Xenopus tropicalis: one gene and its partners. The protein of the gene in region 3 purifies or fractionates together with the protein of the main gene of each other region. This does not show direct contact. Links are inferred from orthologs where the notes say so. Each region holds a gene or a part of one and is shown on either strand. Other genes may lie near its edges.

Region 1 (3,565 bases), on a different chromosome or scaffold from region 3:
GTAATGAATCCAATCTCCCCCAGTACTTACCCAGGTACAGAGCTCTGATTCTCTGTACTTCCTGCTCCTGGGCTGCTCTCTTTCCCATGGTCAGACAGGCCCCCCCCCCTGGGTAAGTGAATCCAATCTCCCCCCAGTACTTACCCAGGTACAGAGCTCTGATTCTCTGTACTTCCTGCTCCTGGGCTGCTCTCTTTCCCATGGTCAGACAGGAATATAACATGACATTGTGTTTCTCAGTTAATGGCTAATACCCACTCTGTTACAGCCACGTATGGATCAGTACTTTAACCAGATGGAGAAGATCGTTAAGGAGAGAAAAACCTCGTCTAGAATCCGCTTTATGCTGCAGGATGTCATAGACCTCCGGCTGGTGGGTGGAGCCATAATAATAATATAGTGCTCCCTGTCCCCCCCCCCCAGTTTATGTCTTTTGTGCAATGAGATAAGAATGTCGCCCTTTCGGCAGAGTAACTGGGTGTCCCGCCGGGCAGACCAGGGGCCCAAGACCATCGAGCAGATCCATAAAGAGGCCAAGATAGAGGAACAGGAGGAGCAGAGGAAAGTGCAGCAGTTAATGACCAAAGAGAAGAGGAGACCAGGTAAGGAGAGGCACCGCGGCCCCAACGTCCCCCTGCGGGGGGGCCTTATCCCTTTCAGGCAGCAGGGGGCGCTGTGCTTACAGCCTGTGCTTGTCCCCAGCAGGGGTGCAGAGAGTGGATGAAGGCGGATGGAACACTGTGCAGGGGGCAAAGAATAACAGGGTGCTGGACCCTTCCAAGTTTCTGAAAATCACTAAGGTAAGGAGGCTGCCCCCTCCCGTGGCACTGAGCTCAGCCCATGCCTTGTTGCTTTGGTTAGGGGGTTCCTCCGATAAATCTGTGCCAGCCTTGCCCGCAGTTACTGGATTAATTACCCCCCTCCTCTGTGGTATCTGTAGAGTGCTAGCTTCTCGTTCTCCTGTATGTGCCCTTCTGAGTGACGCCCTGGCATCTCTCCCCTGGCATCTCTCCTGGCACAGCCTTACAGGTCTCTGCGTGTATTACAGGGCATTCAGGGTGTGCCCAGGGGATTTTGTATTTACCCCCCCTCTCTTTTTTGCCCTCAGCCCACTATAGATGAGAAGATCCAGTTGGTTCCCAAAGCTCAGCCTGGCAGCTGGTTAAAGGGGAGCAGCGGAGGTGCCAAGGCTAGTGAGACTGGTAAGAGCTCAGGCTTCCCTCTCTGGGCTGGGGTAGTTAGTAGCCACAAACCCCACGTGCCCCCCCAGCTAATGCATTGCTCATTGTCTGTTCTGTTAGAATCTCTGAGACCGGGAGCCCCCAGCCTGAACAGGTTCTCTGCTCTGCAGCAGCCGCTCTCCTCTGTGTCTTCCTCCTCCTCATCGTCCCCCTCTGAGCTGGACTCTCGCAGGTTACTAACCAGGTAATGTGGCCCTCACATTGCTCTGTGGCCCCTCGCATTGGTCGGTGTCCCATTTTGTATCCTCCCCCACTGCTGCTAGACCTTGGGCATTGTGTTCCTAATTAAAGGGGAAGTAGAACCCACACCTATAAAGCTGCTGAATAAACATGAAACCCAAATTCTTTTTTTTTTTTTTTTTTTTTTCAATGAAAACCCCCAAACCTGTTATAAAGAGATTTAGTCATCTCAGTTGTCAATCAAATATAGCCTGCCCCGCCTCCGTGCCTCAGGCACCTCCTTCTCTTCCCATTTTACACTTACTGCAGGGAACTGCCCCCTCCTCTGCCTATAGTTGGGCACTAGGCCAAAGCCTTAGGAACAGCGCCACAAACTGGCACCTACCTGCCCGCTGTGACTCCCAGGACCCTCTACGAATTCTTTCAATAAATCTGAGGTGCGCAGCATCTGGCGCAGGGAGGTATCACAGGCCTGGTCTCAGCATTGGCTCCTCCCTCCCTATTGTTGGGAGGGGCTTGCCCCAATGGTTCTGGTGGGTAACCAGCTTCCTTCTTTGTGGGCACTTGGAAACCAGGAAGCATTTGCTGATGATCATGGGAGTTGTAGTGATGACCTGATACTAGAACATGTGACCTGACCGTTGTTTTGGGGTTTAGCAGCCGTGGAAGCACGGGGCGAGAGAAGAACGACAAACCCTCTGCGCCCTCCTCCATCCCGTCTGCGCCCCGACCCGGCACCCTCCTGCGCGGCAGCAGCAAAGACTCGGCCGACAATCAGGAAGAGCTGCGCCGGGAGACGCTCCAGACGGTCAAACAGCTGACGAACGTCGCCGAACCCGACAAGAACACTGTGCCAGAGAGACGGCCCAAAGAGCCAGGTGAGACCCTGCGGTTCTGCAGATAAGCTCCGCCCCAAGCCAGGACCCTTGTCTGTGTGAATCATTAGGGGGCGTGGCTATTTCCACCATTTTACTCACACAGATTTATCATTTCCCAGCCAAGTCCGAGCCGTCGGAACCAGACAAACCCACCCTGTCAGAGGAGGAGATGGAGAGGAAATCCAAGGCCATCATTGATGAGTTTCTCCATATTAATGACTACAAGGTACTGTGTGTGTGTGGGAGGGCGGCCCGGTGGGTTGCAATAAGGGCACGAGAAGCCTGGGTGGGTCCAATGGGTGCATATGGCTTTCCCAGACTCCTCCCCTTCCCGATCATTGGTCGCTAGAACCTTCTCCCTGTGTCTCCGCCCATCAGGAGGCCATGCAGTGCGTCGAGGAGCTCGGTGCCAATGGGCCGCTCTCAGTCTTCGTACGACAGGGGGTGGAGTCAACGCTGGAACGGAGTCAGATCACCAGGGATCACATGGGTCAGCTCCTCTACCAGCTGGTCCAGTCTGGCAAACTCAGCAAACTGGACTTCTTCACTGGGTGAGTTTTAATCGCTGGTTTTGTTCTGTTGGGGCTGCGTTAGTACGACTTTAATGTTGCTATGGAAGCGTGGGCACTAGCTGTATCCTGGCCATGACCATAGGGGGGCGGTCTTTTGCTTATGGGTTTGGGTCACAACGTTCTGTGCCAACGCCGCAGGTTCTCGGAAACGCTGGAGCTGGCCGACGACATGGCGATCGACATCCCGCACATCTGGCTGTACCTGGCGGAACTGGTAACCCCCATGTTGAAAGAAGGCGGGATCTCTCTACGAGAGCTGATAACGTGAGTGGGGGGGAATGAAGTTTGTATAGGAGGCGGGACTTAGGGCGATAAGGCAATTACAGCCATGAACCCTGGGCTTTCTTATCATCTGTCAGGAATCTCATACCAAGGGCCACGCAGTCTCCTCTATCCGTTAGGGCCCCATCTGGATTATTTAGTCCCCAAATTCCCCCAGCGTGGCACCATGGCAATGTGGCTCCTCCCATTAACTGCTTTTTCCTACACAGAGAGTTCGGCAAAGCTCTGCTCCCTGTGGGACGCGGAGGGGAATTATTGTCGGAAATATTGCACCTTCTATGCAAACAAATGGTACGTACCGGCTTTCCCAGCGATAGATGGGGGGGGGGGGGCGTTAGGTCTTTCTGTCCCAGTGAGTGGGCCGAGTACCTATTTGGGGTGCTCCAACCTCATTGGTCCTGTTGCCCCTTAC
Region 2 (4,093 bases), about 6.1 Mb from region 3:
TTAAAGCTCTTTCATTTTTTGTGTTACTGTTCCTTTAATAAAGGAATTTTGATTGACATTTATTCTGAAAAAAAAGTTAGTCACATGAACAGGTTTTACTGCCAAGCATCACACCTGAGTGTTCATGTTGGTTTCATGAAGATCATCATTAAAGGAGAAGGAAAGTCTAAATAACTGGGGGGTGCCAAGTGTTAGGCACCCTCCCAGTAATCGTAATGGCTTACTCGATACACTGGACCAGTGCTCCTGTTAGCAGAAAGCTGCACCAGACTGGGGTTTTTCTGCAGAAGTTCTTCTGTGCTTTCTCCTCTTTTCACCGTGGAGTGGGAGTGCGCATGTGCACTAGAGTGCAAGAGCCAGCTTTTTATTTTTAATTTCGGCTTTCATTCTACTGTGAATGGGTCAACTGGAACAGAAGAAAGACTCAGAAGAAGGTGGCGATAAGGATCTGCAGCAGAAATTACTCTGGGTCCGGACAGTTTTTAGCAAACAGAAGCACTGGCCCAGGGTATATGGCAAGCAATCTTAATCACTGGAGGGTACCTAATATAGACAACCCCCGGTGATTTAAACTTTACTTTTTTAAAGTTGCTAACAAAAATGTTTGTTTTTTTTTATAACAGATGTTATTATTTCCTAGTGGTTATACAGTGACTTATGCAAAAAATAAATAAAAAAAAAGCAGGTACTAACCAGCAGATGAGATTTACACCGATTTGGATTTTAAACTCAATTTTGTCAGGGACTCATGTAAACATAAATATCTGTAAAGCACTGTGGAATAAGTCAGCGCTACATAGATAATTAAGATATAATGCTAAACTGTTGACTAAATATAATATTTAATAAAACATGTATGCAGCATTGTTAAAACCTTAGTAAAACAATTATAACAAAGAAACAGAGAAGTCGTACAAGTTCTACTGATGCATAATGCAACAGGTGACAGAACATAACTGATTCTGTGGCGCGTTAAAGTCAAATGATCCGGGGTCCTCTACTCATTACACTAAAGCAGACCTTGAAAGCATGCAAATGATGGACATGGATATAAATACAGAAGTAATAAAGGCAGGAGTGTTGAAGGCTACTATCAGGCTAACCCCATATTTTTAGGAGCTGTCTCTTACGTCCATTTGCCTGATCTACTATCAAAAAGATCTGCACCAAACTGCCCAATTAACCACCGCCACTAACACACTACACCAGTTTCGTTTACCACTACTGCAATCAACTGCTTCAAGAAATGTTTCACAATTAGGGCAGCAGAGCTAAGTTTACAGTTTCAAAGATAAGGAAGGTTAACTAGTGTCTTGCCTATACCAGAGCTACACAGAATAAAACAGAACTAAAACAACCATGTGATAGCATAACCATACAAATTTATAAATGCAAGTTATTCTCAGGGTCAAAAATGTAAATTATATGAATATATATCTTAGGGTGCTTACAGGACTTAAAAGTAAGGACAGGACATTTCTTTTTCACCATACATTCAAGTCCTGTAAGTACTCTGCTTTATATGACATTCTATATTACATATTTGGGGTGGGTATGCACCCAGACATTCTCTCCATTAAGTGAGTGCCGTTATATATAATTTGACATTATATGTATTACACACAAAGTTGATGCTATAAAATGGCAGTGTTATAATAAAAAAAAAAAAAAAAAAGGCAGTGCCATCAGTAAAAGATTAAGAAGCAGCATGCTAGAGCACCCTAGGGTGGGTGTGGGGTGCAGATGAAGCAAGCACACTATATAGCCTTTGTGGGATTACTTTCACTTACTCAGCAAAACTAAGTGTCACCCATAGTGCCCGCCCTTCACCCACCCACAGACACACATCCAGTTAAAACATATGTTAACAGAAATAACAATAGTTACAAAAAAAAAAAGTCTCATTTAAGTTTGAGCTGAAGAAAAAGATGGGAGAACCTGTCTTCCTAAACTGGGATATCAAGTCCTAGAAGTTTCAGGAAAGGCAGCTTATTTTTTTACAGTTCCAACGTGTTAATATATTATTTGAATGCACTATCACGGATAGAACTGGCCGCAAATGAACAGTGGAGGGTCACAAAAGAAATGACGTGCCATATAAAACAATAGGGCAAGCTAAGTTTCCCACTCCCTACCAGCACAAGCTCTTTTCGCGTTGAAACGGTATGGTGCCATTCATTCATGCCCGCCGAATAACCGCATGGAGTTCCTGAGCCTACGGAGCCATTAAAGCCCCTGATGGAGGACATTTTGATTGCCGGTGCATGCTGTAACTCATGAGGTGCATGATGTCACTGCGCCTCCGCCCCCTCCGCGCTACCCACCTAAACTGACACAATGTCACACGTACTCCTCGCTGTGCCGCTCCATACGGAACCGGCTTCAGTAAGCAATTCCATCCATCTCTCCTCACATTTACACAAACAACACAACATGAAATGCCAATCTTGTCTGCTCGACTCTCACGCCGAGCGGACTTTAGCTATGAAGGACAGCTAAAAGGGTTGTTAAGGGCCTCATACGGACAGGCCATGGTGAGGCAGCTTTAAGTACACGGACATCGCGCCACGCGGTGCCGGTGGGTAAGCGCCACTAGTAAGTTACCAATTCACGTTTCAGACTCGACAGGCATTAACAGGACGAAGGATGGCAATGGATTACAAATCAGGCCCCACCGATTCTCACCTGCTTTCCTCAGTCCGCGCAGCCGGGCGCAGTCGCACCAGCTAGCTCAACCATTTCCGGATCCCGGCGAACCTCTACGCAAGCGCAGACCCAATCCACGTGACAGACTAAAAGCGGAAAGGGAAGAGCACAAACTAGCGCCGCGTTGTCTTCCCTGCACACATCACGTGATTAGAATGTTGCCGGTATCACGTGACTTGAAGTGTGTTAGGGCTAATGCGAGATTTTTGCTCGATATAGTGTGTGTTTAAAGATTTTGTATTCCCGAACATATGCGTGTTCATTTTGTCTACTAGCCAAGCTGCTGCGACTATGTGTGAGAAATTATTTCAGAAGTGTATGTAGCGCGTATCTACATTATAATGACTTACTTTTACTACAAAACGGTAATGTTTAGCAAAAATTCATTTTGTGATGTTGCTACCAACGTCCTATTTAGAATTCCAATATATATATATATTTATTTATTTTAAAACAATGTATACAAACGCACACAAGAACCGTGACTATCCTGTGATGCAGCTTATTTCATATGACTCACTGAAACGTGTGTATTATAATAAACAATGTATTCCCTGTTGTAAAATAACTGAGGATATTAGGAGCCACCTCAGAATTCCATGATCTGTATAAAAGTACTTCTCCTTGTGCAGTGACTTTGTCATGGAACTCTTTTGTGACTTAGGGGCACATTTACTAATCCACGGTCCGAATGCATTTTTTTTGTAATGATCGGTATTTTTACGACTTTTTCGTCGCCGTCATGACTTTTTCGTATGTTCCGTGACTTTTTCGTCGCCGTCAAACTTTTTCTTATATTTTCTGCGACTTTTTTCGTCGCCGTCGCAAAAAAATCGGATTGGTTTTTCCGGCGTTTATAATTGCTCAATACAAAAAAATCGTGACGGCGATGAAATAGTCGCGCAAAATACGATAAAGTCGCACCGGCGAAGAAAAAGTCGAAACAAATACGAAAAAGTTGCGACGGCGACGAAATGACAGCGAAATTTTCATTTCCAATCTGAATTTTTGCCATTCGGGATTTGAATTCGTGCTTTGGTAAATCTGCCCCTTAGTAGTATGATGTAGAGCAGGGATCCCCAACTTTTTTTACCTGTGAGCAACATTCAAATGTATAAAGAGTTGGTGAGCAACACAAGCATGAAAACTGTTCCTGGGGTTACAAATAGGGACTCTGATTGGTTATTTTGTAGCCCCTATATTGACTGGCAGCCTACATCAGGCTCTGTTTGGCAGTACACCCAGGCCCACACCCACACCAGAACAATTTGCCCCCGTGCAGAATAATGGGGAGAGGAAGCGCCAAAACTTTAGCGCGTCCTCTCCCCATGGCTCCGAATGAATGAAGTGGCACGCATGGGGGGGGGGTTGCGGTGCGCATGCGTGA
Region 3 (4,098 bases):
CTGTGCATATGTACCAGAAAATAGGCTATATGTCAAATATGCACAAAGATTAAAAGCTTTTCCATGCCACAGGAGGAACTTACAGTGCAGATATGCTACACTACAGGACACTTAAGTCAATATTTTAATATGTAGAAAGAGGTGCACAAATAATAATCTAAGGGTCTTTAAAGAGGATTTAAAGTACTGTAAAAATAATTGCTGTGGGGCTTCATTAAAGTCTTTTGTGAAAGGGAGAGTAGAGTGCATGGTTAGTAATTGCTGACAGGGATACAAGAATTTTTATAAAAAAAAAAAAAAAAAGTCATGTTTGATTCTAAAATGATACGCATAAGTACTGCACTCCAAAGCCCTTGTCGTAGAACAGTTCAAATATGGTTGATGCCATCAGCTTGGCTGGCAAACCACACCCTTAATGCATGTGTAGTATGTTCAAGCCATATTACAAAGGTTCATGAATTCTAGGCCTAACCAACTCAAGAAGCCAGGTACAGCACTTCAGCACAGACTAGTAAATGTGGCCCTAAGGATCTGCTAGCTGTTCAAACCACATCAGTGCGATTAGCCATAGAAGCCAGTCAGCAAATAGATCTGATGTTCTAATTTGTTAGAAAATGGTCACTGCCAAATGGTTGCTATGGGCTAATGCACTAATTTAGTTTAGCACATCTTCATTAGCTTCATTAGATTACAGTTAATCAATGGAGTAAAACATTCTTTAATGGAGGCTGGGTAATCTTCCCACAGAAAGCCATGTTTCTTAGAGACTTTATATACACATTTACCCACACCTATTTAGCACATTAAACAAATGTGCAAGTCTTACTACAAAGGTCACTATGGTTTCAAATTAGTATGCCCCTTAGGAAGCAATATTAAATCAGGTGTCGCCTGGCCTTTTGGACCAGTCTGCCATTGTTGGCAACTGCAGCCTTAAGGATATTTTAAATAGCCAGATACATGACTGCTTAGATCATGCCTTTAGTCATTATAACCCAAGGGCCTAAGAACACTAAAGTAAACACCATAATGGTAGGAAGAAGAGTTAAAAAAAATCCTTTGCTGTGAAGTTACTTACTAGTATATTTTAATAAGTAAGTAGCACAGATAATGACATTTAAGAACACTGCTCATTATACTACTACTACACAAAAACGGGGGGTGGACACAGTATGGCGGCTTATTAGTGATAATCAGCAGTACGGTTAAATGAAAACACTTTGCTTTAGGTTTAACTTAATTTCCCTGCCATAATACTGCAACAAATTTATGCACCACTAGCTACATCAGTTAAAGAAACAGATAGTTTCCCTTTAGATATTCAGTATTTTATCATTAAGCGTTCGCTAGTGTGTTTAGTTATTAAACTGAAGCCTGTGCAGCACATACTAGCCTATCAATACCTGTTGAGCGAGTTCTCTTGTAGGGGCCAATACTAGAGCTTGGGTCTCCTTGAGATCAATCTCCAGCTGCTGCAGGATGGAAATAGCAAATGTGGCTGTCTTGCCAGTACCTGACTGAGCTTGAGCAATCACATCATACCCTAAAAAAAGTAGGATACACATTCAATGTTCCCACATTTTATTTTGGCACTTTAACTATTAGTCACATAATATACAAGTGATCAGCAAAACAGAAAAACTCTTCACATCAACTCAGTCCCGAAAGATGGTATGCCATCATCTCACTTGTATTAAGGGAAGCTTTTTATTCTACCTACTCAGATGTGAACTTTTCTTACCTTTGATACAGGGAATGATTGCCCTTTGTTGTATGGCTGATGGTTTTTCAAAACCATAAGCATAAATGCCTCTCAGAAGAGATTCTTTAAGATTCATGTCATCAAAATTGTCAACAATTTCATTCCAGTTGCTCTGCAATGGCAAGTTAACCAGTTATTTATCAGTGAGAAGCAGAATTTAACATAAAAGGAGAAATAAGCATTATGCTCACCTCAATGACACCATCGGGGTCCATACCATCAGGGCCTCCATGGTCTCTGAGAAGAATAACACAAGTGCACTTCAAGTCATGTCTTTGCCTTAAGCAAACGGACATACACCACCACCCAAGCTACAGAGCAGCAGCTATATTGGCACATGCATATATACAAGTTGATGTATAAGAGGCACACAGCCTAAAGAAGGCAGCTGCTGCAGTTACATTCATTTAACAGGCATAACAAGATGTTGCAGCTGCTACAGTATCCTGCTTACATTTAACAGTGATGGGACAGTTGCTTACTTAACATCTGTACCCAATAAAGTATATATCTATCACAGGATAACAATTACCTATCAAATTAATTAGTAACCGTAGCGAAGCATACAGCCAAGCTCTTGCGCCCTTCGCACAGTGCTCACAATTCATGGCGCCATGTTCTGCCGGCGCCATCTTCCCCCCCTCCCCACCCTGCGGATGAGAGCCACAGCCCTTAGGTGAATCCAAACCGTTTCGCTCTAAAATTGTGCGTAGGTCCGCAACCAAAAGACATAGCCGCATTCCCAAAGCTTACTCATGTGCAGAGCAGGGCATCATTACGGTCAGGAACACCTCGCCATACCGCTTCTAGTTACTACCCAACTACAACACCCTGCAGCATTTGGCACAAGATTCCGGGAATTCGCAGAGCCCTGAAGAAGCCCGCGTGTAAAGCCGACCAAGAAGGCCTTACACTCAGCCCCTAACAAATATATATTGCCACTAAATGTTATAGTCTCTACCACCCACTCCCTCTTTTAGGGCTACCTAAAAATCCTCGTTCAATAACTTGTGCAAAACAGTTACCTAGTATAATCCGCAGAACCGCCTGACATGATCCACACCGCACTTCAGAGCTCAACTGAAAAGGACTTGGAAAGCTACCACGTCCGATTTATACAACTGGGACTACATTCCGAACCGCGGACGAACACCAGTAAAAAGACGATTTTATTGACTAATGCGTGCAAGTCTCATACTATTCAGGATTACAACCCAAAAGCGGTAGAGATTATTTTATTATTTATTCTCGTACGACAATATTTTGTACTCTTATGTTATTTTGTGGTATAGGTACTATTTTTTTGTCGATGAGTCGTCTGTGCTCTCCGCGGAAAGATATTGCAGCATATTGTGTAGGGTTTCGGTCCCTGAACAGTACGGGGTTTCCGGAGCAGCCCCTGCACGGGCAGATTGCTAAGACCTCCTCCCTTGCGGTCAGTGGGTGACGTTCTGTGTGCTGTACGTGATGCAGGGAAGAGAAGCTGGATGGTGCAGTACCTCTAGCAATGAAGTTGTGCTGATAAAATGTTAAGCGTGTTTGCTAAAACGAGGTATCGTAATGTGTGCAAACTGCGCAAAGCATTGTAGCTCCAGCCCAACATCGGTATCATTTAACCTAGTTTATGTACATTATTGATTTCTGAAAACTGGAGAAAGTTCAAATCTATGTTGTTCTGCCTCAGCGGGGATTATTAAATGCAGAACATTATTAGATTTTCTGCAGTGGAGTTCTGCTTTTGCTGTGTAGGTATTTGTGATGGTAAGTGGTTCCCTCTGATGGCTTCTACATAACCCCCCCCCAAAAAAATATTCCTGCGTAAAATACTTTATTCTTTTGTGGGTTTTGTATTTTTATTGACTAACAATAATTCATGCAAACCTAAACTGCACACATTAATGTGGGCACAGTTAATTCTAATTAACACTGTGTTGGCAGCACTGATACACTAAAAATTAAATAAAACCATTAAAAATGCAATAAAATCATCAATATAAAATGTAAAAAGTAATTATGCAGGGTAATAAGCTTGCAAACAGGGCAATAAAACACTGTTCAGAGAAAAAAACTAAATAAAAGGTTTAAATGAATTTGTACACTTGGGGGCAGATTTATTAAAGTCCGAATTTAAATTAATGTAAAGTATGTTTTGGAAAAATTCGGGTTAAATGTGATAATTTCTGATGTGAGTTAATTGCGCGAAAATTTGTATTGTGATATGATCCGAAAGTTATGAAATTTTCGTATCTTAACAATCATAAATGGCGTGAAAAACTTTCTGACTGAACCTTCGGTGCATGATTTCGGAAGCCTACCATAGGACTCAATGGCACTCT
Region 4 (3,565 bases), on a different chromosome or scaffold from region 3:
CTAAGGTGTGGTAGGAGCCTTCTTTTAAAGGGCAAGTCAACCCAAAAAATAATTTTTTGCCTAATAAAACAAAACATAATTCTAAGCAACTTTGTAATATAAATGTATTGAAAATGGTTACGGTTTCAAGCGTTATTTGTAAATATAATTCCAACGGAAGACCACATATGCTTAACTCCTGGTTATGACTTTTTAAACAATGTTGCAAACGTCAGTCTCCTCCAGCGAGTCAGGTCTGTCAGGCTGCTGCCTTGTGTTACATCAGGATTCCCCAACCTTTTTAACCCGTGAGCAACGTTTCAATTAAATAAAAGTTGGGGAGCAACACAGACGTGAAAATTTTTTCGAGTGGGCGAGCATTAATGACTGCGATTGGCTATTTAGTAGCCCCATGTGAATTGCAGGCCTGCAAGAAGCTCTGCTTGGAGTAAAACTGTGTCTGGGCTTCCAAAACTTGCCTCCAAGTCAGAAATGTAAAAATGGCACCTACTTTGGGGCAACTGGGAGCAACATCAAAGGGGGTGGAGAGCAACATGTTGCCCCTGAGCCACTGGTTAGGGATCCCTGTGTTACATTGTTCCAAATGCCAGAACCCCCAGGGCAGGGAATAGAAAAGGACTGGCAAACACTGCTTCTTATAGCAATTATATATGCAAATAACCATTACAAATTTGTAATAAATGTATATTGCAAAGTTGCTAAGAATAATGTTTTCTTTAATTAGGCAAAAATTATTTTATTGGGTTAACGTGTCCTTTAATAGTATTTTGGAAGTGTGAGATTGTGTGTAGGACACAATCAGTAGTCATAGTCAGGTATTTATCAGTAATACGCTTTTTAAAAAAAGTGCAAGAGACATGGCCACTGCCCAGTGCATTACCCACATTACCTGCAATAAGAAGGGAATCCATTCTGGAAGGAGGCACAGGGGGCTTAAACAGCTTGTTTACATCTTCCTCGGGCAAAGAGGTCTCTCCGCGGCTCTGGCGCTGTAGGTTTTCTTGTTGCCTTCTTTGCGTGTACTGCAATGAGACAGAAAAAACAACATATTATTAGCTAGTTGTGTTGCATTTATTTATTGCACACCGACATTAGGAGACATTTATTTGCCTGGCCACAGAGTAACGTATAAAGAAAAAAAAATACAATAAATGGAAAAAAGGAGGATTGTGTAGGATGAGTATATTGAGTGTATTATCCCTTTAAGGTTCTGCAAAATGATTTAAAAATCCCTAGAGAAGAACGGACTTTCTTTGTGCCCCACAGACTGCAGATTTGTGCCGCCAAATACCTCTGTATATAAGAAAAGCTGCAGAAGTTAGCATAGGTGCGCCGGTAACATTCACAGCCGAAACAAACAGCTTTTGAGCACAAGCGCGGATTTATGTAATTGGCGTAAGGGACATTAACGATGCTGTAATGAACCACAACCAAAGCAATTAGAGGTAAATGAAGCCTGCAAGGCTAAACTTTTTTTTTCTCCTTTGCTTCCTATGATAAAATTATAGTCTTGAGTGATATTTTGCAATGGATAACGCTGGAGAGAGAAGAGGGGGGGGGGGGGCTGGTTAATGACCGGCTTTCCACTTGTTTCTTAAATACCTTCAAACGCTTTAGCTTTCTTGAATCAAATACGGAAAAATACAGGCGTTTCTATTCATCTGGCGAAAACGCTTCATTAGTTTGCACACGGGGATCAGGGTAAATGTAATAGACTAAGAAATGAGGAAAGGCTGCAAAGCATACTGAATAACCTGTAATATTCACAGGGCAGCGTTATTTCATGGGCCCGGGGGGGCGCAACTGATGGCTCTGCAGCAAGAGTGTCAAACATGGGGGCCTTCCAGCTGCTATTGTTATTATATAGTTAAAGTACATAGGTTAAAGAGATTCGGTCATAATTTTTACGGTATACCTTTTATTTTTAAATGACACTGTTTAGACAGCAAATAATTCACTCTGTCATTTAAAATGTTATTCTTGAACCAACAAATGTATTTTTAGCTGTAATATTGGTGTGTAGGCGCCATCTCAGTGCATTGTACCAGAGTCTGAGCTTTCAGAAGGAGCCAGCGCTACACATTAGAACTGCTTTCAGCTAACCTATTGTTTCTCCTACTCCCATGTAACTGGAGGAGTCCCAAGCCGGACTTGGATTTATTACTATTGAGTGCTATTCTGATACCTACTGGGAACTGCTATCTTGCTCCCTTCCCATTGTTCTGCTGATCGGCTGCTGGGGGGGGGGGGGGGTATCACTCCAACTTGCAGCGCAGCAGTAAAGTGTGACTGAAGTTTATCAGAGCACAGGTTACATGGCTGTGGCACCCTGGGAAATGAAGACAATGGCTAGCCCCATGTGACATTTCAAAAATGAATATAAAAAAAAAAATCTGTGTGTTTATGAAAAACAGATTTCCATGCAGGATTCTGCTGGAGAAGCTCTATTAATGGATTGGTTTTGAAAAAAACATGTTTTCCCATGATAGCATTCCCGGCCCTGCCCCCGAGGATCAAGCAAAGCCACATCCCATGTAGGAAGCGCTCTATTCCCCGAGCCAATAAAGGTAACCCACCTGGTGCTTCTGCTGCTGCTGCTTGCTGATATTACGCAGGTAAGTGTTGTATTTCACAATGTCCTGGCTCAGTTCATCCACTCTGTCCATAAGGAGCTGCAGGCTTTTCTCCAGGTGGTTACTGGGTAGGGTAAAAGGAACAGACACAGATTAAATACAAAGGCCCAGATACCCAGAAACCTATATGGACTGTACATAAAAGTGTGAAAAAATGCCAAGCGACTATGTAACCACCAACCATTCCTTTAGCAACCATTCTACAGCAGGTGCCTGTGGGTTGCAGACATGGGTGTAGGTTGAGTCACTGGTCTCTACAGGAGTTTTAATTCTAAACCTATTTTTTCTCTTGTTTTTTTCCCCACTTCCAACAACATCACTTTAGAGTTATATATTATTACCAAATAACAACAACATTTCCTGAACAGCTGAACTAAAGTTGGCCACACTGAAAGATCTGCTCGTTTGGCCAAACAAGCGGATATTTCCCCAATATGACTGCCCCAAGGTGAACAATATTGGATTGATCCTTAGCGCCAAATGACCAAATCAAATCGACTGGATCCGGGATGTCAGGATTACATGCAAGCAGGCCATTGGAGGGCTTAGGCACTCTTCGGCTGAACAGTGTTAAAATGTTAAAAAGCGTCCTGCTCATTAGAGCTTACAATCAAAAAACAAGGAGAAGGGTTTAATTTAGGCAAGGTGTCCTGAGGGACAAACAGCCCTCCTTATATGATGTCAACAGACTTACAGGTATGGGACCTGTTATCCAAAATGTTCAGGGCCTGGGATTTTCCAGATAAGGGATTCTTCCATAATTTTGATCTCAAACCCTTAAGTCTAGTAAGACTAGCAAGTCTAGTAAGAAATCATTTAAACATGAAATAACCCCAATAGGATTGATCCACTCCAATAAGGGGTAATTATATCTTAGTTGGGATCAAGTACAGGCACTGTTTTATTATTACAGAGAAAAGGGAATCATTTAA

What was found.
Region 1: the proteins of eif4a2 (region 3) and eif4g3 purify together in Homo sapiens (affinity purification with mass spectrometry; 3 studies listed by BioGRID and IntAct, with this or other methods). This does not show direct contact. The link is inferred for Xenopus tropicalis from reciprocal best matches to the Homo sapiens genes EIF4A2 and EIF4G3.
Region 2: the proteins of eif4a2 (region 3) and eif4g1 purify together in Homo sapiens (affinity purification with mass spectrometry; 6 studies listed by BioGRID and IntAct, with this or other methods). This does not show direct contact. The link is inferred for Xenopus tropicalis from reciprocal best matches to the Homo sapiens genes EIF4A2 and EIF4G1.
Region 4: the proteins of eif4a2 (region 3) and eif3h purify together in Homo sapiens (affinity purification with mass spectrometry; 3 studies listed by BioGRID and IntAct, with this or other methods). This does not show direct contact. The link is inferred for Xenopus tropicalis from reciprocal best matches to the Homo sapiens genes EIF4A2 and EIF3H.

The regions. Positions count from the first base shown.
Region 1 is NC_030683.2:132,837,480-132,841,044, forward strand, and holds part of eif4g3 (eukaryotic translation initiation factor 4 gamma 3), read left to right. Parts: intron 1-268; coding exon 269-373; intron 374-469; coding exon 470-602; intron 603-702; coding exon 703-800; intron 801-1,108; coding exon 1,109-1,202; intron 1,203-1,301; coding exon 1,302-1,425; intron 1,426-2,078; coding exon 2,079-2,299; intron 2,300-2,418; coding exon 2,419-2,525; intron 2,526-2,677; coding exon 2,678-2,850; intron 2,851-3,009; coding exon 3,010-3,135; intron 3,136-3,362; coding exon 3,363-3,444; intron 3,445-3,565. UniProt on the Homo sapiens protein: Component of the protein complex eIF4F, which is involved in the recognition of the mRNA cap, ATP-dependent unwinding of 5'-terminal secondary structure and recruitment of mRNA to the ribosome. Functional homolog of EIF4G1.
Region 2 is NC_030681.2:99,828,141-99,832,233, forward strand, and holds the start of eif4g1 (eukaryotic translation initiation factor 4 gamma 1), read right to left. Parts: upstream 2,807-4,093; 5' UTR 2,686-2,806; intron 1-2,685.
Region 3 is NC_030681.2:105,926,329-105,930,426, forward strand, and holds the start of eif4a2 (eukaryotic initiation factor 4A-II), read right to left. Parts: upstream 2,843-4,098; 5' UTR 2,817-2,842; coding exon of another isoform or gene 2,788-2,816; intron 2,000-2,787; coding exon of another isoform or gene 1,954-1,999; intron 1,875-1,953; coding exon of another isoform or gene 1,805-1,874; coding exon 1,742-1,804; intron 1,691-1,741; exon of another isoform or gene 1,619-1,690; intron 1,544-1,618; coding exon of another isoform or gene 1,404-1,543; intron 1-1,403. UniProt on the Homo sapiens protein: ATP-dependent RNA helicase which is a subunit of the eIF4F complex involved in cap recognition and is required for mRNA binding to ribosome.
Region 4 is NC_030682.2:136,690,016-136,693,580, forward strand, and holds part of eif3h (eukaryotic translation initiation factor 3 subunit H), read right to left. Parts: intron 2,698-3,565; coding exon 2,577-2,697; intron 1,023-2,576; coding exon 890-1,022; intron 1-889.